Styela clava: one gene and its partner. The protein of the gene in region 1 purifies or fractionates together with the protein of each later gene. This does not show direct contact. Links are inferred from orthologs where the notes say so. Each region holds a gene or a part of one and is shown on either strand. Other genes may lie near its edges.

The links.
Region 2: the proteins of intraflagellar transport protein 81 homolog (region 1) and intraflagellar transport protein 74 homolog purify together in Homo sapiens (affinity purification with mass spectrometry; 3 studies listed by BioGRID and IntAct, counting the BioPlex papers as one, with this or other methods). This does not show direct contact. The link is inferred for Styela clava from reciprocal best matches to the Homo sapiens genes IFT81 and IFT74.

Annotation. Positions count from the first base shown.
Region 1 is NC_135262.1:1,878,328-1,890,676, reverse strand, and holds intraflagellar transport protein 81 homolog, read left to right. Parts: upstream 1-6,802; 5' UTR 6,803-6,929; coding exon 6,930-8,909; 3' UTR 8,910-10,028; downstream 10,029-12,349. Other genes in the region: CBY1-interacting BAR domain-containing protein 1-A-like, read left to right, coding at 10,075-10,127, 10,351-10,483, 11,662-11,763. UniProt on the Homo sapiens protein: Component of the intraflagellar transport (IFT) complex B: together with IFT74, forms a tubulin-binding module that specifically mediates transport of tubulin within the cilium. Binds tubulin via its CH (calponin-homology)-like region.
Region 2 is NC_135260.1:21,841,123-21,852,924, forward strand, and holds the start of intraflagellar transport protein 74 homolog, read left to right. Parts: upstream 1-5,520; 5' UTR 5,521-5,667; coding exon 5,668-5,716; intron 5,717-6,908; coding exon 6,909-6,952; intron 6,953-7,173; coding exon 7,174-7,361; intron 7,362-9,331; coding exon 9,332-9,491; intron 9,492-9,806; coding exon 9,807-9,866; intron 9,867-10,210; coding exon 10,211-10,351; intron 10,352-10,452; coding exon 10,453-10,584; intron 10,585-11,051; coding exon 11,052-11,227; intron 11,228-11,802. UniProt on the Homo sapiens protein: Component of the intraflagellar transport (IFT) complex B: together with IFT81, forms a tubulin-binding module that specifically mediates transport of tubulin within the cilium. Binds beta-tubulin via its basic region. Required for ciliogenesis.

The DNA of each region.
Region 1 (12,349 bases):
TTCTTGCAATTTCTCCCACAAGAATTTTTGGGCAACAAAAATAGGCCACGAAAAAAAAAAAAGTTTGAGAACCACTGGTCTAAACGATATTACAAAAAATGCTGTCTGTATGTCAGAAAATTTAGTAATTACCCTACTGTACCTCACATTTGTTAATCAACCAATCTGCGGTTATTTTGTAAACATGAGTTTGAAAAGAAAGTTGACAAATTTAAACAGATTTTTAACTGGATGTGGGAGGGAAAAACAACAATTGTTGCTTGATATGTCAGCAAATTGTGTCGATGTCTAAAGAATATAATCTAAAACGACGTTTTGGAATCTTGTGAGCAATGAACATTTTACAAAGTTAAGATTTTGCTTTGAACATATTATGGATGTTCGAAAGTATATACATTCGCAGAAACAATTTTCCCGTTATGAAAAATTTGAAATCTTACACTAAATATAGAAAGATTTTTGCGTGCTTTAGTAAGTTTTTCGGTGGTTTTTGCTTGTTTTAACTTAAATAAATATACATGACAAATGACAAATACTGATCAATGTGTTTGCACAATAAAAGTGTTTGTTTTGTATTACACCGTTTACCTATATTTGGCACTATTGTGGCCCGCGAACAATGCAAAAATAATTTTGTGGCCCCCAGACCCAACAACCTTGGTCCACCCTGACAATTTAACATTCTCACGATGACACATTGAGACACACCTACATGTCACGCTCCTTGACTATTGTATTCATGATGCCACGCCCACATTCCGTGCCCCTCAACTTAATTGTTAAGATTCATGATGACCCGTTGAGACACACCTACATGCTACACCAGGGGTCGGCAACCCCTGGCACGCGTGCCAATTGTGGCACGCGAGAGGATTTCTCATGGCACGCCAAGCGATTTGACCCATATTCAGATATTTGTTTTCGTAGTGCGACAAACATTCTACAATTGAACAGAATATAACAAATCGACAAATTCAATGAAAAAACATGCAATATTTAACTTCAATCGACGAGAGGCCGAAATCTGTACCCAAAATCGGTGTAGGGTGCAGTAAGCGTGTGCAGTCGATCATCCTCCTCCTTTCAAATTTTGCTAAAATTCCTGACTGTTTTTATCAGCGTGACGTGTTATTTAGGCCGTAAATACTTTTAGTTGGTGCTTATTCTCCCTGAATCACAACAATTATGTCACGACAATGATAATAATTACTTTATTTTTGCCCATAATTGAAAATCTCTCGTAAGATAATTTCCATGCACGTTATCCAATAAAATGAATTTGTTTCTCATCCGCTTACTATTCAAATCAGGTAGTCGGCTATGCAAACCATACACATAAAAATGTTTGGCACGCGAAGGTGCTCATTATTCATAAACTGGCACGCTGAGTTCAAAAGGTTGCAGACCCCTGTGCTACACCGTTTAATATTACCTACCTTAACTTTTTATCCATGATGACACCCCCCACCTCCCTAATTTCACTCGTCTCAACTATTAATTCACGATGACACATTGATACACACTCATATGACACGCACCTTAACTTGAATCCCCTTAAATTGGATTCACGATACGACACCCCTTAATTTCACCCACCTTAACTATTGGATTATTGGTAATACATCGAGACACACCTACATGCCACACCCCTTATCTTCCCCCACTTTAACTATCGGATTCCTAATGACACATTCCTACATGTCAAACCCTTAACTTCACCCCCTTAAATTGGATTCATGATACCCACCCCTTAACTTCCCCCACATCAACTATCACATTTATGATAATACATTGAGACACACCCACATGACACACCTCTTAACCACCTTTACTATTGTATCCAGGATGACACACCCGCCCCTCACCATATTTTAGTAGGGACACAACGGACATAGCCATTTTAGTATGGACATGGCGAACATACCTATTTTAGTGGGGACATAGCGGGCATAGCAATATTGGTAGAGACATAGCCATTTTAGTATGGACATGCCGTTGTACCCGTTTTAGTAAGGACATAGTGGGCATATTCATTTTAGTAGGCACACAACGGACATAGCCATTTTAGTAGGGACATAGCCATTTTAGTATGGACATGCCGTCGTACCCATTTTAGTAAGAACATAGTGGGCATATCCATTTTAGTAGGGACATAGCCATATTAGTAAAGACGTAGCCGTTTTGGTAAAAACGTAGCCGTTTTGGTAGGAACATAGCCATTTTAGTATGGACATGGCGTTGTACCCATTTTAGTAAGGACATAGTGGGCATATTCATTTTAGTAGGCACATAACGGACATAGCCATTTTAGTAGGGAAATAGCCATATTAGTAAAGACGTAGCCGTTTTGGTAAAGACGTAGCCGTTTTGGTAGGAACATAGCCATTTTAGTATGGACATGGCGTTGTACCCATTTTAGTAAGGACATAGTGGGCATATTCATCTTAGTAGGCACATAACGGACATAGCCATTTTAGTAGGGACATAGCCATATTAGTAAAGACGTAGCCGTTTTGGTAAAGACGTAGCCGTTTTGGTAAAGACGTAGCCATTTTGGTAGGAACATAGCCATTTTAGCATGGACATGGCGGGCATACCCATTTTAGTAGGAACATAGCGGACATAGCCATTTTAGTAAAGACATGGCGGACATATAGCCATTTTAGTATGGACATGGCGGACATAGCCATTTTAGTAAGAACATAGTGGGCATATCCATTTTAGTAAAGACATAGCGGACATATAGCCATTTTAGTAAGAACATAGTGGACATAGCCATTTTAGTAAAGACATAGCGGACATATAGCCATTTTAGTATGGACTTAGCGGACATAGTCATTTTAGTAAAGACATAGCATACATATAGCCATTTTAGTATGGACATAGTGGGCATATCCATTTTAGTAGGGATATAGCGGGCATAGCCATTTTAGTAGGGACATAGCCATATTAGTAAAGACGTAGCCATTTTGGTAGGAACATAGCCATTTTAGTATGGACATGGCGGACATACCCATTTTAGTAGGAACATAGCGGACATAGCCATTTTAGCAGTGGCGGCGCGTCAATAGGGCCAACCGGGGCAATGCCCCGGTTGTTTTTTCGGCATAATAAAAAATATTTGAAAAATACCTCAATATCGGTTGCACACACTGTCTACACTAGCCATATTCTCCCGACATGGTTCATTTTTCGCTCGCAAAGCCTTCGCCGAACGTCGACAGGGCGACGCCGATTTTGCCCCGGTTGCTCATTGTATATCGTATTCTCTCTTTTATCTTCCACTCGCCGCGTTTGTCTCGTTTGTTTTCTGTTTCTTTTACTAAATCATCGGGGCTAGCCCCGAAATTATGACGACACAATGCCGACGTTTCTTACAACAACGTGTTGACATATTCACGCATTCCTTCTCGTTCGTTGGTTGCTTGAAGAGTTGATAGTTTCCTCGCCTTCGTTTTTGTCGCTTGTTTCGCTATTTGAATCAGTTAGAGACCTTTAGTCCATTTGCTTTCGATTTTCCACATTCCTTTTAAGCTCCTCACTTCTTTCCGGCTTCGCATTTCTTGGCCTTAGACCTCATAATGAATAAGGTTGATGCACTACTTCGCACTCCGTTTTCGCAGCTGCCGTTGGAACAAAAATTAGAGGTACCACGTCTTGGGCCTTACCAACCAAAAAAATGTTCACTGGAACAATCCCATGACGGAGGAAAGCGTCGGCGTACATTCTGCGCAAAAACTTGGTATAAAAAACACGAATGGTTGTGTTACAGCGAGGACAAAAATGCACTTTTTTGTTTTTATTGCCTACTTTTGCTACCGCCCGTGACTCACGTTGGTGTAAATTTGGTTTTAGAGATTTTAAACATCTTTCCGAGCGTGCCAGGGATCATCAATCTTCTATGGAGCATCTGGACAATGCAGTAAAATACCGAACATTCGGAAATGTTAATATTGCAGCACGGTTGGATGAAGGACGCGCGGTTTCTATTCGTCGGCACAACCAAAACGTCGAGAAAAACCGCCATGTTCTCGGTCGATTGATAGATGTTTTGAAGTTCATTGGTTGTCACGAGCTGTCCCTCCGTGGGCACGATGAACGGGCTGGCTCTTCTAATAGAGGGGTATTTTTGGATATGGTGGAATACACCGCATCCCTGATACAGTATTGAGAGATCATCTTGATGCCGCAACTGTTTCGAAAGGGACATCTAAGGATATCCAAAATGATTTGCTCGACTCAATGTATAAAATTTATTTACAGCATTTGGCTCTGGAAATTGAGAATTGCCAACTGAAATCACGTGCGTTTCCCAACTGGCTGTGATTTTTCGGTTTGTGAAAGATGGTAAACCTACCGAGAGATTTCACAGCTTTGTACCAATCGTTGATCGCACGGCTTGCGGGATATCGGCTGTACTGAAAGAAGTGTTACAGCCTTACAACGCGAAGTCAAAATTGATAGCTCAAACTTATGCAACCGATATTGAGGTATTTTTCGAATATTTTTTATTATACCGAAAAATTGCCCCGGTTGGCCCTATTGACGCGCCGCCACTGGATTTTCCTCATGCGCATTTTTTACATTGTTATGCACACCAATTTAACCTCGTTATTAAAAATATGTTTCTTGATACCCCTCTCGTCCGTATATTTTTTGCAAATGTTTCGGGGTTTTTATTCATTTTTTTCCGTTTCGCCGAAGCGCTCTGACCTCCTTCGCCAGATATGTAGCCGCCGTCTCCCAGCTTGTGCACCAACACGTTGGAACTTCCAATCACGCGTGGTGCAGGGCGTGTCCGAAATTAGGTCTGAGCTCATTGAATGTTTCAATGGCATTCAGAGCTCTCCGGTTTGGGACGAACGCTCTGTGAGGGAGGCGGCAGGTCTAAAGCGTCTGCTAGAAGATGGTGAGTTTTCATTTTTTCTCCACAATATTCTATCACGTGGATGTATTATACGGCGCATTGCAGTCAAGGCTAATGGATGGAGCGTCTGTGCAGTCGTGTATTTCAGACTTCTGCGATGCTGTATCTCGTATCCGGGAAACAATAATATACGACGACACATGGAGTGCTTCTTTACGCCGCGGGCAAACAACGCAGCGTTTGCATTTGTCTGCAAAGGAATGCTGTGACATTCTGGTGAATCAAATAGGCGATCGTCTGCGCACTGAACACCTTGCCGCGTTCTCTTTGATGAACCCCAAAAATTTTTCAAAATTGCACGTCAATTTCCCATCCATTTGTTGGCTACTGTCTCCAAATTTTACCCCATGATAAACGTGGGTAAATTGGAAAATGAATTGCGATGTATATACACCAATCAAACTTTTTTGAACATCACATCAACTTGCGCGCTCTATGGGTTCCTCATAGATAACACTCTAGTAACTCCCATTGCGGCGTCTGCAAAATTTCTGGACATCGTTTTGACGACGCCTATTTCTTCCGCCGACGCAGAGCGAACATTCAGCACGCTGAAGCGTATTAAAACGTATCTCAGAAACACAATGAAGCAAGATAGATTAAATTCCTTGGCTGTTTTATCCATTCACAGAGACGTTATTTCTGGGATGCATGACTTTAATCAGCGTGTTATTGAGCATTTTGCTTCCAAGAAACCGCGGCGTGTTGCATATATGTTCAAGCAGTAGAAGTCTAGCAGCATATATATCTATGAGTGAGCGACGCATGTCCTTATCTTTGCATTATCTTTTCTTTCTTCGTAGTAACGTTTTAAACCTTATTTTAGGTTTTGTCTGCTTTCCCGAAGTTTCTGTTAATATGTCATTGTATTTATCTGGGTAAATATTGCCTTTCCTTTTGAAAGAGGTTTCAAAAACAATGTCTATATATATTAATCCCTTGACTTGGACCGGTTTTAAAGACACTTTCTTATCGTTAAAAATTGTCGCTTTTGCCGATTGGTTGTTACCGATGGAATGGTTTTTATACTCATGAAATGATGGGAGAACTTACAGCGCTCATCCTGTCCCCGTAGATGGGGGTGACTTGGTCCCGCAGTAGCTTGCCCCGGTTGTCAAAATGACCACGCGCTGCCACTGCATTTTAGTAAACACATAGCGGACATATAGCCATTTTAGTATGGACATGGCGGACATAGCCATTTTAGTAGGGACATACCCCTTTTAGTAGGAACATATATCAAAAGGGGTGCATGCCGCACATTTGTGTTTTAGGCCAATATGGTCTTGTGCATACATCCCGTCTTCAGTATTTATAATTACTTACTCTTTTATATTGCTTTTACGAGACGAATAAACATACATACATACATAGCGAGCATAGCCATTTTAGTAAAGACATAGCGGGGACATATAGCCATTTCAGTATGAACATGGCGGACATAGCCATTTTAGTAAAGACATAGCATACATATAGCCATTTTAATATGGACATGGCGGACATAGCCATTTTAGTAGGGACATACCCATTTTAGTAGGAATATAGCGGGCATAGCCATTTTAGTGGGGACATAGCCATTTTGGTAGGAACATAGCTATTTCAGTATGAACATGGCGGACATACCCATTTTAGCCGACTTGTCTTTCAGCCTGCGGAATATTTATTTGAACTAACTTAGTTTCTAAGCGGTTCAAAAATTGCAATTTTCACGTTACTGTATTGTGAACTTGTTGCTGATTGTTTATGGTTACGGAAATAAACCAGGAAATCGATGCCCGGCGGAAACTTCCACTGTCCTTATTAACCGCTTCATTTAAGCACCGTTGTGCATCGAAGACTCTGAATTATTTATTATAGCTGTTCAGTGACCCTTGACCGCGTTCTATGTTTGTTAGCAACCTGCATTCCTGAACGTTTCTCGTTGACGCGTTCTTGTTTTTCTCAGAATAGCGTCCACAAATTGTGAAGTTTCTATGTGTAATTTTGGAAATTAACAACAAAAATGAATGATCAAGTGAAGAAAATTGTTGAAATATTGAATAAGAAGCCCTTTGAGAAGGAACTTAGTGCGATTGCGTTTCATTCGCTTGGATCTGAGCAGCTTATTCAGTTGATGAATGATATTTTAGCCCATATTGACAGCAGACATGCAGGGGATATACGGGAAGAAGCTCCGGACGCTAGAGCAGGTCGAATTTTGAATGCTTTGAAAAATCTGAAATATTCACCGCCTCCAAATGCCGATGTTTCAAGTTTTCGACAAGGAATTGTATTGGGGGAAAAGGAAGTTTATTGCCCAATTCTATTTTATCTCCTGACAAATCTGGATTCACTGAAAACTCGTGCCTACTTAGCAAAGTTTTTGGTGAAGTTACAGCTTCCTCCTGAATTTGTTCAAGATTTTTCGGATGCACAAATGCAAGAGGCTTGGCATCGGTACGAAGAACTTCAAGATCATTTTCTGAACTGCCACAAGGAGTACGTTGATCTGAAAAAACAAAGTCATGGTACCGGTGAAATCCGCAGCGATATTACCACCATGGAAGAAGAGAAAGAAAACCTTTCAAAACGTGTAACTCGACTTCGTAAAAAAGTTGAAACATTTCCAAATCTTAGCGAAGCATTATCCACTGCACAAAACATGCGTAAAGAAAAAGAACGAGCAGATGATTTGAAGTTAAAAATACAACAACAACGACGTCAGTTACAACTCAGCGAACAAAGATTACAGAACGCTAGACAGAGTCTCCAAGACGCACGACAGGCTGGCTCGAACGCAAACCCCGAATCGATAATTGGGAGAATGGAAGAAGACAACCGTGTCAATAAATATTTAATCGATGAAAAGTTACCGAAAGAAATGAAAAGTCGGAAAAAGTTTTTACAGAGTTTACAACAAGTTGCATTGGAGCCTGCGATCACGCAAAACGATCTGGACAGGATTGAATCAGATATTCAAGACATGAAAAATAATATCAACAGTCTTGTCGAACAACGAATGGTCAAAAATTACCCAGCGAAAGATAATTTGACAATGTATCGCCAACAAGCTTCGATCCTACAACATAAGAAAGAGACTGTGTCGGAATCATTGCAAGAAACGCAAGAAGAGTTTCAAAAACTGGAAAGTGATGTTAAAAAAAAGAGACAACAGCTTACTGAAATGGGGGGAGAAGTTCTCCGTGGAGAAGCGTTTAAAAATTATGTTTCAAAGTTACGTGGAAAAAGTAACAATTACAAAAAGTCCAGACAAGAGTTATCAGACCTTAGAGCAGAGCATGGTGTTCTCTCTCGCACTGAACAGCTTCTAAAACAAAAACACGAAGATGCGCAAAAAACTCTCCGCACTCGAGAACTTAAAAGTGGAGTTTCAGGTTTTCGTGATACCCAAGATGACTTGGAAAAAGTATCGTCGATGAAAAGTGAACTTGATGACGCAAAACATCGTACTTTAGATGACATGTCAGATGCCGTAAAACGTCTTAATTCAATCATCCAAGACAAGAAATCTGACCTTGCCCCGCAGATCCGTGAACTACGACCTTTACGTCAAAAGAACCAGGAATTGATGCAGGAATGGACTGAGAAAAAGGGGCATTACGATGGAGTTCTTGCCGGGCTTGAGTCAAACCGTGCTCAATTGGAACAGACAGTTACAGGATTACGAGAATTCTGCTCAGAAACGGAGAGCCGATATTTTTACTTGAAAAGCATGAATAAAATTATCGAAGTCCAATTAGAACGAGCAAATAAGGAATTACGGACGTACATGTCCGCGACTGGAGCAGATAAACAGAAATCCTATCGAGAGATTTACAATAAAAAGATACAAGAGCAAGAAAATAGAGCAAAAGCACTTCGTGAATCTCAGAAGCAAGTTCGTGAAAATCACGATCAGAATCAAAAACAAATGTTAATGTGGTCGGATCTAGATAAAATAATGCAATGTAAATTGGACTGTGCTAAAAAGATGATGAACTAGGATTATTCATCAAAATGACTGTATTTTGAGAAGATATTGGGCCCAGGGGACGGTACATTACTCCTATATAAGCTTCAAATTTTTGTATTATGGTATCGTATTTTGATGTTGAATTCAACAAATACTTTAAGACAATGAAAATAGTAAAAAGCAACATAGCCTGGGCAATATGAAAAATCTCCAGAATTGCTGATGTCCTTTGACTCTTGGTTTAAAGACCTATTATTGATTATTGAATCCCTAATTAAAGGAATGAAAGGAACTATTATTTTTACAAGAACTAGAATTCTTTTTTGATTCAGCATCAATTCATTACACTCTGCTCTGGGTATGGGGGGATTTATTAGATACCGTACACAAATTATTGTAGTACTTTGTGCATGTCAAGTTATGTTGAAATATTAGCCTTTTTGTATAATTTTATTTCAAAGCCTTTAACCTTGTGTTGCTTATCTGACTGTTGTAAAATGTCATCGGCCCAGTACAAGATTTATCCCAAAATCTTCTAATGAGCTAACATTTATAAATTGTAGACATTTCTCTGATATCTGGTTCAGAAAGTGTTTAATATTGGTAACAAAAATGAATTCGTAATTTTATTTTATTTTCACTATTACTGCAATGTGATTTAAATTTGTTCTGATCACCATGCATAAGGCTAGCAAAAGATTCGTCTTAATTTACCAAGAATCTAATTAGATGCTTATTTGGTTCCCGGTTTTGGAAATGTGTAATACCGAGTGCAAGGTTTGAATGTGAATTTTTCGGTTTTTACTCTGAATGCAATGTTGTTTCAAATTGGGGGCTAACCCTAACAAGTTCAGATTTTATTATCTAAATAGTTGGGAACCCTTCCTAGCAAAATTGTACATATTCAAACACGCCTATATTGAAGTATTTTACAAAATACAGTATTTGGTCAGACTTTTAATCCATTCTGGCTTTTTAACAACCAGAAACCATTGAAGCAACCAGGGCAGAACGACCTTGTCCTAATAAGCAAGTGTCAGTGCTGCTATTTCCACTTCACTGCTTTTCTTTTGTGCATATTAGGAACAGTACTAAGTAGACTATGATTTGATGTTCATGTTTGTTAATAAAAATGTTATTTTTGTTAGATTCTATATTATATATTTTAAATTATTTTTATCGAAACTAGCAATTCATGATGAATCGGTCGAAGAACTCTGCGGCGCAGACTCCTGAAGCGAGAGCAAGGTAGGCACTAAGTTTTCAATGATTCCTGAAAGCACAGCTTTGGAAAAGTAAAACATTTTGATATCCTGGCTTTCTTATGGGAATGCATAACAAATAGTCATAATGAGGATTAACATGTTTATTCCAATGGAATCCCGTATGAAGGCTTAGTCGTGGCAAATCACGACCTCTCGTCCGGTTGCCTGCCTTTGTCTTCATAATAATTTGATATCATATCTTCTAGGGACAATCAAACGAAATTTATTCGCGAAGCTGTTACCAAAGTAGAGAAGAATTTTGGGACAATCTGTGGACAAATGGGAGCTGTGAACAGAAGAAGCAGCAGATTGAGAGATAAATTTGATGAAATGGCAAAGGTGGGATTGTTGACATAGAATTTTTTTGAATTGCTCAAATCAAGCATGTGCGCTTAGTAAAAAGTAATGAGCCTAAACAACTGAATTCCATGACAACTACCAGTATAATATTTTCTATACAAAACATGATATATATATATATATGGATATGATTTACATATTTATCCCGGGGGAGAGGAAAGCCGATAAGACGACTTATCCATATGGCGAACCACGGCCTCTCGTCCGGTTACCATTCCAAGTCGGGTATGGGATTAGTTTTACTGTATTGTTTGTTTTCGGAAGCATGGACTTGGTGGTGGAGGAAGCCGTAACCGACCAGCGGTTACGTGAACCACCCAGCGACGGCGAGGAGTCCAGCAATCCTCTCGCACATAACCATCCCTGCATGGGATTCGAACCTGCGAACCCACGCAGAGTAATTAGAGGTGCGGTGGCGAGCGTATTCCTAACGCTTAGCCCGTTGAGCCACACCGCCGCACCGATTTACACTTATTTATGCCATATTTACACTTATCCTACAAACAATGCTCTGTTTAAGTAGCCAGCACTGTTTTGCAGTTTGCTGGGACAAATAGTTTTTTTTTGTAACTATTTATCCAAAGGCTTCCGAATTTATAGTAATTGGAAATGAAAATGTTTTTTTATTTTTTCAAATTTTATCAGAGAGCTGATTTTGCTTTTGCTGATAAAAAAACACATTGCTCTTTCAATACTCAATGATTCACTTTCGTATTTAGACTTTTTATACTTTATACTTCGTATTTAGACTTTTTATACTCTTTCTTTATACATTGCCCAATTCTATCTGATATCCATGGCATTCGATTTTGCTGATTTCAAAAAAAAATTATGCTCTCTTTATGATTTTCATTGAATCCCCACTATTTTAAAATAAACTGATGTAGCCAGTAGCCACTTTGATTCTCGGCAACCACAGCTCGTGAACAAAGAGATGCAGGTTGCCGATCGCTGACTCAGGATAAAGTTTAGTCAACTTTAATTAAATTTGTTTAATTACCAAATTTTGTGAAAATAATCTTCCAACTCAAACAAATAGTTGTTTGTGTAAACCTGTGTTATCTTTGAGAACATTTTTTTCAGATTACCTAGGAGGAAAAGTATAAAACTTAACATAAATTTCATATCTTTTTACGAATTTCATTTTTTTTTACCAGTTTATGCTGAATTACGCCAACACTGAGCCAGGACCATTGAAAGTAACACTAACTCAATTCGCGGAACATATCTCTGCTGTCCAGGACTACAGGCAAGCTTTGGTGAGTTTTACATTTGTAATCCTGATTCTCAGGTAAAACAAATTTAGTACTGTTCAAATGGTTCCTAAACCAATCCAATATGGCCTGCCGAACTTGAGTAAAATAGTTTAACATATTTCGTTTTTTTCTTTTTGTGTCCTAGATATAATAGTAACAATTCAGTTCGGTATCTTGACAATTTGGTATCTTGATTATACATACCGGTACCGGTATCAGCTCTTTGCAGGCGCACCTCTCTCCTGGTCTGCGATTATCCTTCAGTTTTGGCCTTCAGTCTTTGGAAACCACTAGTCCAGAGGATTGATTTTTTTTATTACTATTGGACTGGGTACTATTGTTGTTTATTGTTTCTCTCCAAAAAAGATTTTGGTTTCGAGCTTCCAAAGACAAAAAAAATCTTTGGGCTGAAATCATTTTTCTACAAACTTGAACACTTATTAAACTTTTGATGGTTACTCCCGTAGTATATGTACCAGGGTAAGGTTAGGCCATCTTTTTAATCCGATTTTCCTTATTTTAGTTCTATTACGAGTTCGGGGACTGTCTGTGTTAGCCAAGTGAATTGCCCATACGTTTGTCCCTGTAC
Region 2 (11,802 bases), on another chromosome or scaffold:
GATTATACGTTTCCGTTTTGTTTGGCTTTTGAAAATGGTTATTTCGTATTGTTCCGTTGGCTGTACGTATGCTATAGACAACGGAATGGATCTTCAGTTATATTCTACTGTTTTCAAAAGATCCGGAACTCTCCCATTTCAATAGAAAGCAGATGACAAACTATACTGTTATGTTATTGGTAGGCCTAGGCGTAGGCCTACCAGCAGGCTTGACTTGACATCAATTGTTCTAAGGTTTTGTTTCCCTAGTTAGCAGGTAATCTATTAGACTAATGAACATATATATATATATAGATTTTTAACGCATATTCATTCACGTGGGCGTTGACGACTGTCGGTGTCTATCGTCAGTTTGACAAACTTGGTCAGTCAAAATTTGTGTCAGACGCAACTAATCAAACCAATCAACAAACAATCTATGTGTAGTGGTAATTAATCGCTATAGATATGCTAGGGGGAAAACATATATTCTGAACACATATATAAGCTTATTACAGACACTTTAATGTTGAATGTGTTTTTATTGAAATGGCGCATAAAATATTTCTGATTCTGCTTATAATTATCTCCTGATTTTTATTGTGACGGAAGCACTCCATCCATTCTTTCACCATGAACCTTTCCTCGACATTTGACCCCGGAAAGTTTTTTCTATCCTTTACCATTGCAAAATTTTCGGCGCTTATTATGAGAGCGGTTTCACGAGTTGGCGCCTCTAAAATGGAATATTTGTTTCAAACCATCAACCTGATTCATAGTATGCAATAATCACTAAAGGGGTCGGTAAAGAATTTTAGCCTAGTCTATCACAGCTGTTTCTACATTAATTTTTGATGAAACTGCAATTAAACTCAAACTACTAAGAAAACATATGATCATTGAAATATTTTTCGATTTATAATTATAATTATGAAATAATTTATATAATTCATTTGACAACTGAAAACTAGCGGATAAAATTCAAAAGCGCGAAAACGAGATAATGTTTACGACCCAGCCTGAAAATCTGTCGGAGCAACGATTAACGGTCGGAGTGAGAAAAGTGTTTGAGCGGATGCGAAAAGAGCCATTGTTACGTGACGGATTTTATAACTTATATGGCTCGGCGATGTGGCGCATCGTGCTAAGCGTTAGGAATACGCTCACCACCACAACTAGGATTACCCTGTGTGGGTTCGAATCTAGCTGGGTTAATTATGTGCGGGAGGATTGCTGGACTTCTCGCCGCCGTAGGGTGGTTCACGTAACTGTTGGTCGGGTACGTCTTCCTCCACCATCAAGTCCTCGCTTCGGAAAAATACAAATAGCTGACTAACTAATCCCATAGCGCATGATTGCCACCAGGTATATTCATGTTGAAGATAAGTGAAGCACAACCGGTGTATAGCAAAACATCGGCAAATAAAATCGTTTTGCTATACACCGGTTGTGCTTCACTTATTTTCGACATAACTAATCCCATACCCGACATGAACTGGTAACAGGACGAGAGGCCGTGGTTCGCCATATCATTAAGCCCAGGGGCGGATTATGTCCCTTTGGTGCCCTAAGCACTGAAGACTTTGGTGCCCTCTTATGTGTATTTTAAATTATAAAAACAATAAACTACATAAGTGTATCATCCATCAAAAATTATTACAACCAACAGTAAATAAAACAACTTTTACGAATATTTTTTAGGTTTTTTTTTAACTGGTATACATAACCGATATATATATATATATATCGGCCGTTTACTGCCGATATATTAGCCTATATCTGCAAACACGCAATATCAGACCGGTATAACGGTTAAGCTCTAATCCTGAAGAAGTTCGACGATGAAGATTCATGCGTCCAATCTTATCGTGAATCGAAATACCAAAGGATACAAAACAAGTCACAACTGTAGTTTGAAATTTTACCGGTACTTAGTAGTCTACCTCAGGGTGGTCCAATATAGCGAGAAGGACCACAAAAACCTTTTAGAAGGTCACGCGGGCCGCAGTCGAAAAAAACAACAAAAGTGACCGAAATATCGCGACTTTACTTACTTTAAATTCAATGAACAATTAGAGTTTACCGTTCGATTCAGCCTATTATTATGTTGCATGGGTTGCGTTCTTTTAAAGAAGATATATATAAAGCCTTCAGTTATTTCGAAATTAATTACCGAGAATTATCGTTGTATTTTCCGCATCTCGCGTTTGGGTTTATAATGACGCTTCAAATTATATTCGTTCGTGACAGATGTTACTTACCAGAAGCTGTGGTTTACCGTTGTGGTGGGCAAGAATACATTTTCTCCTTGTTTTCTTTATGTCACCTTTCTTTTGACACTCATTATATTACGAATTATTATGACGCTTCAAATTATATTCGTTCGTGACAGATGTTACTTACCAGAAGCTGTGGTTTACCGTTGTGGTGGGCAAGAATACATTTTCTCCTTGTTTTCTTTATGTCGCCTTTCTTTTGACACTCATTATATTACGAATTATTATTTTTGAGTAATTTAAAAATTTGCAGCGTGAGCAGGCTTAACGCTATTGTCAAATAACAACCAAGTTCGACAAATTGGTATTTCGGGACCTAGCCCAAGATAACCTGGATTACGCGGCGTTGAGACAGAGATGGCCCTTATTTTAAAACAGAGGAGTGTTTTTCCTAAAATAAAGGCACAAAATCTCTCTCCGAATAAGGAGTTACCCGACGCGAGTTGAGATGAGAAGTGCGACCCATCTCATCGGTTTGGTCCTGTCTGCACAAGGCAATTCATTCTCATTGTACCGATCACAGCTCACAGGACGCCATTCTCATATTGGCATCGTCTTGACGTTTATAAATACAGCATTGAAATTCCGTGACCTCGACAAGCATAATTCCCGACATTGTGATTAGGAAACGAGTTTGAATCTAGGGATCCCACCCCAGTTGGAATAACTAAAAAAAAAAAGTTCAGGATTTGTCAAGTCATGACAGGGTTTGGACCATTCTGGTCTACCTTATCGAAAGACTCCCGACATCGCTGACCACTAGATCGTTGAAATGCGATCACGGAACCACCATACCGTGCAAATAGTCCATTGGTCCAATAGTTTAAAAGAGAAGAAATTTATTTAAACAAAAATGCATCAACAAGGTGAATACTAGGGGGAAAAACAACAAAAATTTTTAATAAAGAAGGTTAATATGATACTTGAAGACGAGAAATGAGCGAAAATTTTGAAGTCTGAGTTGTCTGCTAAACTTCTCTTACCCCTCTTTGCTTGGTGCCCCAAGCACGTGCTTATATTGTTCAATGGGTAATCCAGCGCTGATTAAGTCGTCTCATCGACTTCCCTCTCCCCTGCGATAAATATGTAAATCCTATCCTACTTTTTGCATTTTGCTGATTGGCCAATGTCACAAAGTAAACAAGGAAGCCGATACTGGGGGACACATCCATAGATCACCAAAATCTGAAAGCTGTAACATACTGTAGCGAGACTTTATTTTTGTGTCAAAGGTCGAGGAAACCGCTGGAAATAGTGCGTAAAGTATTGTACTGCAAGCCTATCACTAAAAATGTATTCGGCTGCTCCGTCTGTCCGTGAGGAATTTTGAATAGAATAGGGGTTTACATTTTAATCCTGACGCAGAGGAAAGTATATCAGGCGGCTTGATCATATGACGAACCACTGCCTCTCGTCTGGTTTCCATTCTGGGTAAGTAGTTAGCCAGGTAATATTTGAAGTTGATACCGTACCGGTACCGTACGGTATTACTGTAATACCAGTCATAAGCAGATGAATTAACTTGAAAAAAAATTCTCTTTACACTGCTACATGCATTTTTTAAATGGTAATAAGGTGGTGTAGCCAGTCTGTTGACGATTTCATTCAAATCGCTAAAACGAATATTTCTAATCCTGTACCGGTAATCCGTTAATTTTTTCACCGTAGGTGCATTGGCATTTATTCTACACGCTAAACCTCGAATTACGACACTCTGAAAACACATTTGCGACCGAACGACCAGTGTGCGACCACGAGTTTCGAGCCTTGAACATCGTTTCTACTGCGTCGAGACTAGAGCATACACAGCCATGCGTGAAAAAATTGGGCTTCTAATTGTATTTCTGACAGTCATATATTTCAAGAACATGGTTATTTCGAACAAAACTCATCAAATTAATAAACAAAGCACCGCATCCCAGCAATCAAACAGACAAAAACACGGTGGTCGCAAATTGGTCGGCAAAGATATTGGAAATGTGCAACCCCTATTCTCCCTCCTTTAAATGTAGAAACGCGAAACTTTAAAGATGGTTAATAAAAAAACACAACTCTACCCACCTGCCAAGTTCCATCTTTTTATCTCTCATATCTGTATGGATTTTCAATTATTTTTTAAAGAGACAATGGGTAGTTGGCGACATAAAACATGATTGAAAAAAAAATGGTCTGTTTTTTTCTTCGGTCGGGTTTTCGGTCGTAACTTTTTTGTTTGTGGCCGCATTTTAGTGTAATTTCGCAGAGCTACGGGGGATAAGTGGATGATAACGTGTGAGAAATATCGTCGCAGTTTGTTAATTTTTTCGGCATTAATTTATAGACTGTTACGGTATAGTCTAATCTTTATGGTGAAAAATCTGGATGATGAATTCTTCCATGAATAGCCTATATAGTCTAACATTAACAATTAATGTAATGATCGTAAAACTTGTCAATAACTTTATAACATTTAAGTTATATTCTTTCTTCATTAAAAAAAGACATACCTGCAGGTCCTGCATACAGACATAAGATGAGCAATGTCAGAATGTTGTCAGTTGCCAAGTCCAGAAGTGAATGCAAATTTCATGGTTAAGGTTTGATGTGGTATTAGTCATAGTCTATCTTGTTCAGTTTTTTTAGTATGTCCAACTGTTAAACTGCTAATACTTTAAATATTTAAGAAGCGCAATCAAAATACAGGATTTTTAAAATGGCGGCTGTTAATTCAGTAATTTATCTGAATGAAAATATAGTCTAATGTGTTTTTGTTTAGTTACTTTAGAACAATTTAGCAAGGAAAGCGAGATAGAGGTGTATTGTATTTCATTCACTCTGCCACTTATCCACCAGCTAAGGCAATATTGAAATGTTTATTATGACTTTTATTTCACCCATTCAACTATATTATGTCCTGAAATTGTACCTACATGATGTGCTTTAAAAAAATAAGCTACGTCTGTACGTTCATAAATGGCATTCAACGTGTGCTATTAGTCCGAAAGTCAGGACTTTAGTATACAGTAGGCTACTTTCTGAAATAAAGTGATGAATTGTTTGCATTTGAACAACAAATTTATGGTCTAGCATTTCGAGCTGTTTTTGATTGAACTACTATGTTTAGATGAACTGAAGTCTTTAGCCTTCGCAATTCGATTTGATCCAAAGGATTCTACCTCGTTTTTCAAACATGGTTAACATTAATCCAGTAAGCTAAGACTTCACATCCATGCTCTGGTTCTACAGTTGTATCAATTTCAGCTAGACTGCCATATTTCACAGTGTTTACCTTTTGTATATTTAGTGTGTTGTTATTTATTTAAATATCTAAAGTCTCTAGCCAAAACAACATAAGAATACTGCCGCTTAAGTAGAGATATTGTTTGACATTACTATCTTTGTCAGTGAGGAAGTCATTCTTGAATATTGCACAATGGCTGGGAGGCCACCAAGCTCAATGCGAGGAAGGCCGCCATCAAGTGGTGAGTTTCAAACATTTCTTGTGTCGCTGCAACATCTTTTCTGTTTTTATATTACCTTATATAAGGGCTATTCCAAGTGACTCTACAGGACAATTCCAGAAATTTTGCATGTTGTTAGATTGTAGCATTGCCAGCTACATGTTTTGTATTATTGTCCAATCAATTGCTCTATGGGGTTTGAACATACCTGCACGAAAGTACACACAAGACTTACTTAATGGATATAAAATATATGTTAAAATATAGGGTGACTCTACAGGACAGCAAATCCACCATGCATTAACATTTCGTTATGTTGTGTTGTAATCGTCAATGAGATTGTGAAATAAACTAAAAAGAAACGTAACCTAAAATCACCACACTCACTTGGAAAGAAAATATCCGATCTATCGAATGAAAAAAAAAATGAAGTGTTTGAGATTAATGGGCAGAAAACGACAGAAACGAGTTCCGATGAATGATGTTACTGAATTTCAATCAACACATGCTGACGAACGTCTGGCCTCCATAGACGCATCAACTTTGCTTACTCACACATACTAGATTAAACTAAATTATTTTGGCCCGCTGCCTGCAGGTTGCACAACCCCTGTTCTAGAATATATCCGCTAATTCGAAATCAGAGAAATGTGCCGTACTGTAAAATGGTATTGAATATGCTTAAATATGCATTATTTACAACAATCTCATTGATTTTTTAAATATTGCAATTTGCAAACAATAGTTTTCTTGCTCAAGCGATTTGAATGATTTGACTAACAAACGATTTGATTAATTGCCATCAGTTATAATTAAAATATTAATATATGTGCAGTGCTGTGGGGTCGGAACTCTGTCATTTAAAAAACAACTTTCGACTCCAGGTTGGCGGAAAAGAATGCAATTTTGTCTCAGGGTCCAACTTCAAACTCCATTCTTTAATTATCTGTTAGGGTCAACTCAATGCTTTATTCGAAAATTTTAACTTGAATATCGCCAATAAAAAAATAGAATTACAGTAAGTTTCGAAACTTCCACTTCAGAATCTGGAGAGGAGATTCTGGCTCTGGCACGGACTCCAATATCAATCAAAATATGCCAATCTCTTGCCTTCATGGCCTTGTACATATCCATCATTAATATTTTGATTTTTTTTATACATCCCTATCAAATAAATTATCGATATATATGTTTTACTTATTGTTTTATGCAGGTATGGGAGCAAGACCACCGATGGGAGGTAGAATAGGCACAGGAGTGAGTAGTACCTTTTGATGTTTTTTGCTGCTTTTTCATTTTCCTCTTCTTTATGTAGACTTCCTAATCGATTAATAACCATGCAGAAAGTGAGCTTGTTGTGAATCAAACGACTAACAGTAATTACTCCTTCACATAATTCTTAATTGGGAATGAACTCGCAAACTATCTGCAAGCCTGTTGACAAGTCAAGTTAATGTCATGTACTGTGTACATTTCAGCAAGTTCCTGGTACTGGTCGCCCTGGTACAAGGGGAGGGCAACCGGGCATGACATCCACTGTTTTACCTGCTGGAATTAGAGTAGCGGATCGACCAATGACACAGCAAGGTCTCGGTGGAATGAAAACAGCAAGTAAAGGCCCCCAACGACAGATACAAGACAGAACTTATTGGCTTGGAGAAATACGGTAGGGTATTATTAAGTATAATGAGTTATATTTGAATCATTGTTGATTTTTTCGCAACAGTAGATCGTAAGATCGTAATCAGTATCAGTTTTCAATCTTGGAGGGAGCACAATTGCTAACGCTGATCACTTCGGATATCTACCGCTAATGCCAAGCATGAGCTGTTTATATTTAATCAATTTTTGAAAGAAAGTCAATTGTGTGCCGAACCAGTTGTGGCAGCTTTGGACAATAATTGGTGACCATCTATTCTTTATATCTCGACCATGTCTGATCGCTAGCGATGAGAAAGACTTAATTTGGTTCCTTAACTGGTATCGAGTGTGTTTGTTTGCAAAGTTGTTAATATTCTATTCTCTTAAGTCTTGATTTTACTCTTTATGTACTGCTTATATTTGCAGTTTTTTGAACCAATTCATTTGGTGATTTTTTCCATTACTGCCTTAACTACTGTAATTATATTATCCTGTTTTGTATTTCAATATCACAGTGCATGAATTTCAATTACCGTATTTCCCGGCGAATAAGTCTACCCAGTAAGTAAGATGAGGCCCGTTTTTAAGCCTGAAACAATGTTTTTTTGCCTATAACCTCCCAATAAGACGGTCAGTAAAATCACATCAGAATCGGAATCTCAAATTACCATGCAAGATAACCCATAATGACTTTTTCTTGTAGCGTAATATTCAATCCATGACATCTATGGGAATTTTAACTGTCTTGCTAATTCTTTATCTCTAATTAACGACAATAAATATACATATAAAGTGTACGGTATATATGAAACATACATACATAATCATCACCTCGAAATCTCCACGAAACGAAATGTGTTAATTGATTTATTTGTGATCAATTTAATCTGCGATTGTGACAATATAAATAGTATCACTCCAAAATACCAACACAAACCGTGCACATAAACATGTTCGATTATATGTTGTTTTGATTCGTATTTTTACAAATTGAACAACTTAAATGAGCTCTTGCTGCAACAATTATTCCGCTTCATCGCAAAGCTGCCACTCATTATTTTGAGGAAATCGACGTAAGAAAAATTCTACCGGTAAATTAAAATCAGTTAAATGCATTCCAAAAAATGAATTAAATTACTTCACATTAATCACGGTATTATAAATATATCATAGTCGCGTCAGGCCCTGTCGGTAATTGTAAAATACAGAATGTTTTTGCGATTTGCAATGTCTAAAAATCATCTGTCACAGGCCATCCTAAAATAAAACCTAGATGGTGTTTCCGTTTAATTTTTAGTATTTCATAATGCCAATATTTTAATCAAGAATATTTGGGTCACATATCACTCCTTCATTCATCTTAGCATCATGTCACATATGATTAGGTAATAACTCGTATCTCACAACACAAGTGCCATGGTTGTTTGTGAACAATGAAGTAACTATGGTCGGTCCTGGCGGCACAAAACATATGTTGAGGGAAATTTATGACTTTTACAGCTCAAATAAGACATCACGCTGACAGAACAATTGACGATTTTCACAAACTGCAATCCCACATTTATCGGTAATAGCCCTCACTCGTGATGCACAAACAAATGCGGCAACTTCAAATATGATAATCTCAGCGTTGAAAATCCAGATTTACAGCGCGAGAACGCCAATTCATTTAAACTGACCTGATGAGGATATTATGGGGGATGCTATCGCCGAAGGTATTTTATGGTCTTAATTGAATAATGAACCGATCCCGAAAAAAAGAAAAATATCATACTCGCTTAATAAGACGGCCTCCCCAAAATCAGGCCAAAAATTTGGGTCTAGAAAAGCGACTTATTTGCTGGGAAATACGGTAATTTAAAATGGGTTGATAAATTTGTTGTAAACTGTGCATGACCGAGAGGTTATACAGCAATCCATCTTGGTAAAAAAGAGAAAATTTTAATAGCTGAATGACAAGTAGAAATCATTAAATTGCTTATTTTTGAAATGCAGGACCAAGACGAATGAATTAGCGTCAGAAATTAAAAAGGTTGAGACAGACGTTCGTCAATATCAGGAAGAAAATAACACTTATCTCATGTTTGAAAAGAGAGCTGAAATGCTGGCGGCTGAGATTGCTGGTCTTCAAGGAGAGCTTCATGATTATAATATGGCAAGTATAGAAAGTTGGGGAAGACCCTTCCTTTATATAGCCTATTGACTTTCGGTTCACTATTAGGGAGTTCATGGAACAAACATGAGAAGTCACATTCTCAGCAAATGTAATTGTCTTTTATTCTTTCCTCATACTTGATTAGATTGATCTAAATATTCTTTTTTCATGTAAATATTTAAAGATCATTATAAAGATCATATTTTCTAAGATTCAATATGATGGTTATTCCATGGTCATGTTTTCATAGAAATTCCTTTTTGAATTATTCTAGTAATTAGTATTAATAGATATTTATGTCAATATTTTATGTAGATGATTGACCAAATCAACATGAACAAAGAAATTACAGGAATTTCTGATGATTATAACTCGGTAAGTGGGAGCATTGAGGATTTATAAAATGTCGAATTGTACAATAAAATCTTCTAAAGTTGTTTTGGTATTTTATATCTGACATGTTTGCATAGGGCAGGGGTTCTCAAACTTTTGGTGTTATGGAGTGTGTGAAGAGGTTGAATACTATTTACGGAGCCCCACAAATTCATAAAAATTATCTATTGGAACTTATAGATACTATCATATTTGAATTACCACATTATTGCCAATTGAAATTTCTGGCTTTCGAATATTTTTTTTAGCTGGATGCTGTTTCTACTATCCAATCATGCATAATGCTCAGTGCCATAATCATTAAAATCACGTTTATTTTGCGCCAGCTGAAAGCTCGAAATGATAGAGAAGAAGAAAGTCTTGAAAGAATATTTGAACAAAGACAGGCAATGGATCAGCAACTTGCTAAATTAGAGAGGGAGATGGATCATGAAAGGACAATGACTGAAAACAGGGTTCAAGACATGGTATGATAAGAATTATGTTTGTATTATTTTTGTCATATTAATAGTAAAATTACCTTTCAGAAATGAAACAGTTATATTTATCTATTTGATTTATTTCCTAGGAACCAGAAATGAGAGAACAATATGTTGCTCTGAAAAAAGAGAGTTTGAAAAACGCAGACATTGTCAATAGTATGCAGGATGAAATTGAATCTTTGAGTTCAAAGCAACAACAGATTGAACAGTCGTTGCAGGTATGAAATGAATAAGTACACTGGTTTCTCCAATGTTGTGAAATCGTGAAAATATACAATCATTGCCGACTTCCAACATCAGATTGAATGAAAACATGAATCCTGACCTCAAGATGAAAAAATCTTCACTCCGATAAATGAAAATTGTCTGTGATTCCAACTCCAAACTCCTGGGGGAATCAAAGTTGAATAATAAAAACTTTGACGTATATAAGTTTTTTTCAATATACTGATGATTACACTAACTCAACTAATTTTTTTTTGAGTTTCTGTCGAAAATTCTGACTTCAATTATCAAAATACTCAAACTTCATTTATTTTTTATGCATATGACAAAATTCATGGAAGGATATGCTATTTGTTTTTCACAAACGATCAGAAGGATTTGTCTTAAATTGTCCTTTCTTCTGCTCAAAAAGTTGTTATTTCTGAACCTAACAAACCTATTTATCTTCATTTCATTGCAGTCAAATCCAATAAAATTGGAAGCAGTTAGATTATATGAACAGATGAATGAACTCCAGGATAAATATACTCAACTCCAGCAAGAACAAGAAACATTTTCGAGTCCGGAGGCAGAAAAAGAAAAATTATTAGCCAGAGTGAAAAGTGATAATCAGGAAATTGCTACTATGGAAAGACAGTAAGTCATATTTGCTCTTGCTCAGAAGTTACTCAGCTATATTCAAGCTTTAAGAAATATGATTTACTAAATGTTCTTTTGAATGAAATTCTCATACCTGCACTGTTGGCTGCATGATATCGCACTCTGCTGTAATTAGCAATGTGGATTTTTGTGCTGTCTCAAGCTGAATCAATTTTTTTTAATATTTGAGCTCTGAGCTCCTGGCATTCTGTTTAGCAATTCGAATTATCTGTGCTGAGTGTACTTGCCATGAGTCACTTGCTCCTAGTGATACCGGAAATAGGCTACCCAGTCTCTTAATTAAACATATACATATGCCAAATGGAATTCATGTTAGTATTAGAGATGTACCGATGTATCGGGTATCGGCAATATCGGCCATTTTTTCAGTATCGGTATCGGTTAGATTAAGACCGATATTTCCGATAGATTTACCTTTTTGATATGGTCCAGAATGTTTTAAAAGATAAGTTGGAATACTACTTTTTAATTTATTTTTTGTCTGGAGAGATCGTGAGCTATGAGCCATACATGTCCCCACCCCCACGAGAGAATAGGATTCACATGTTTTT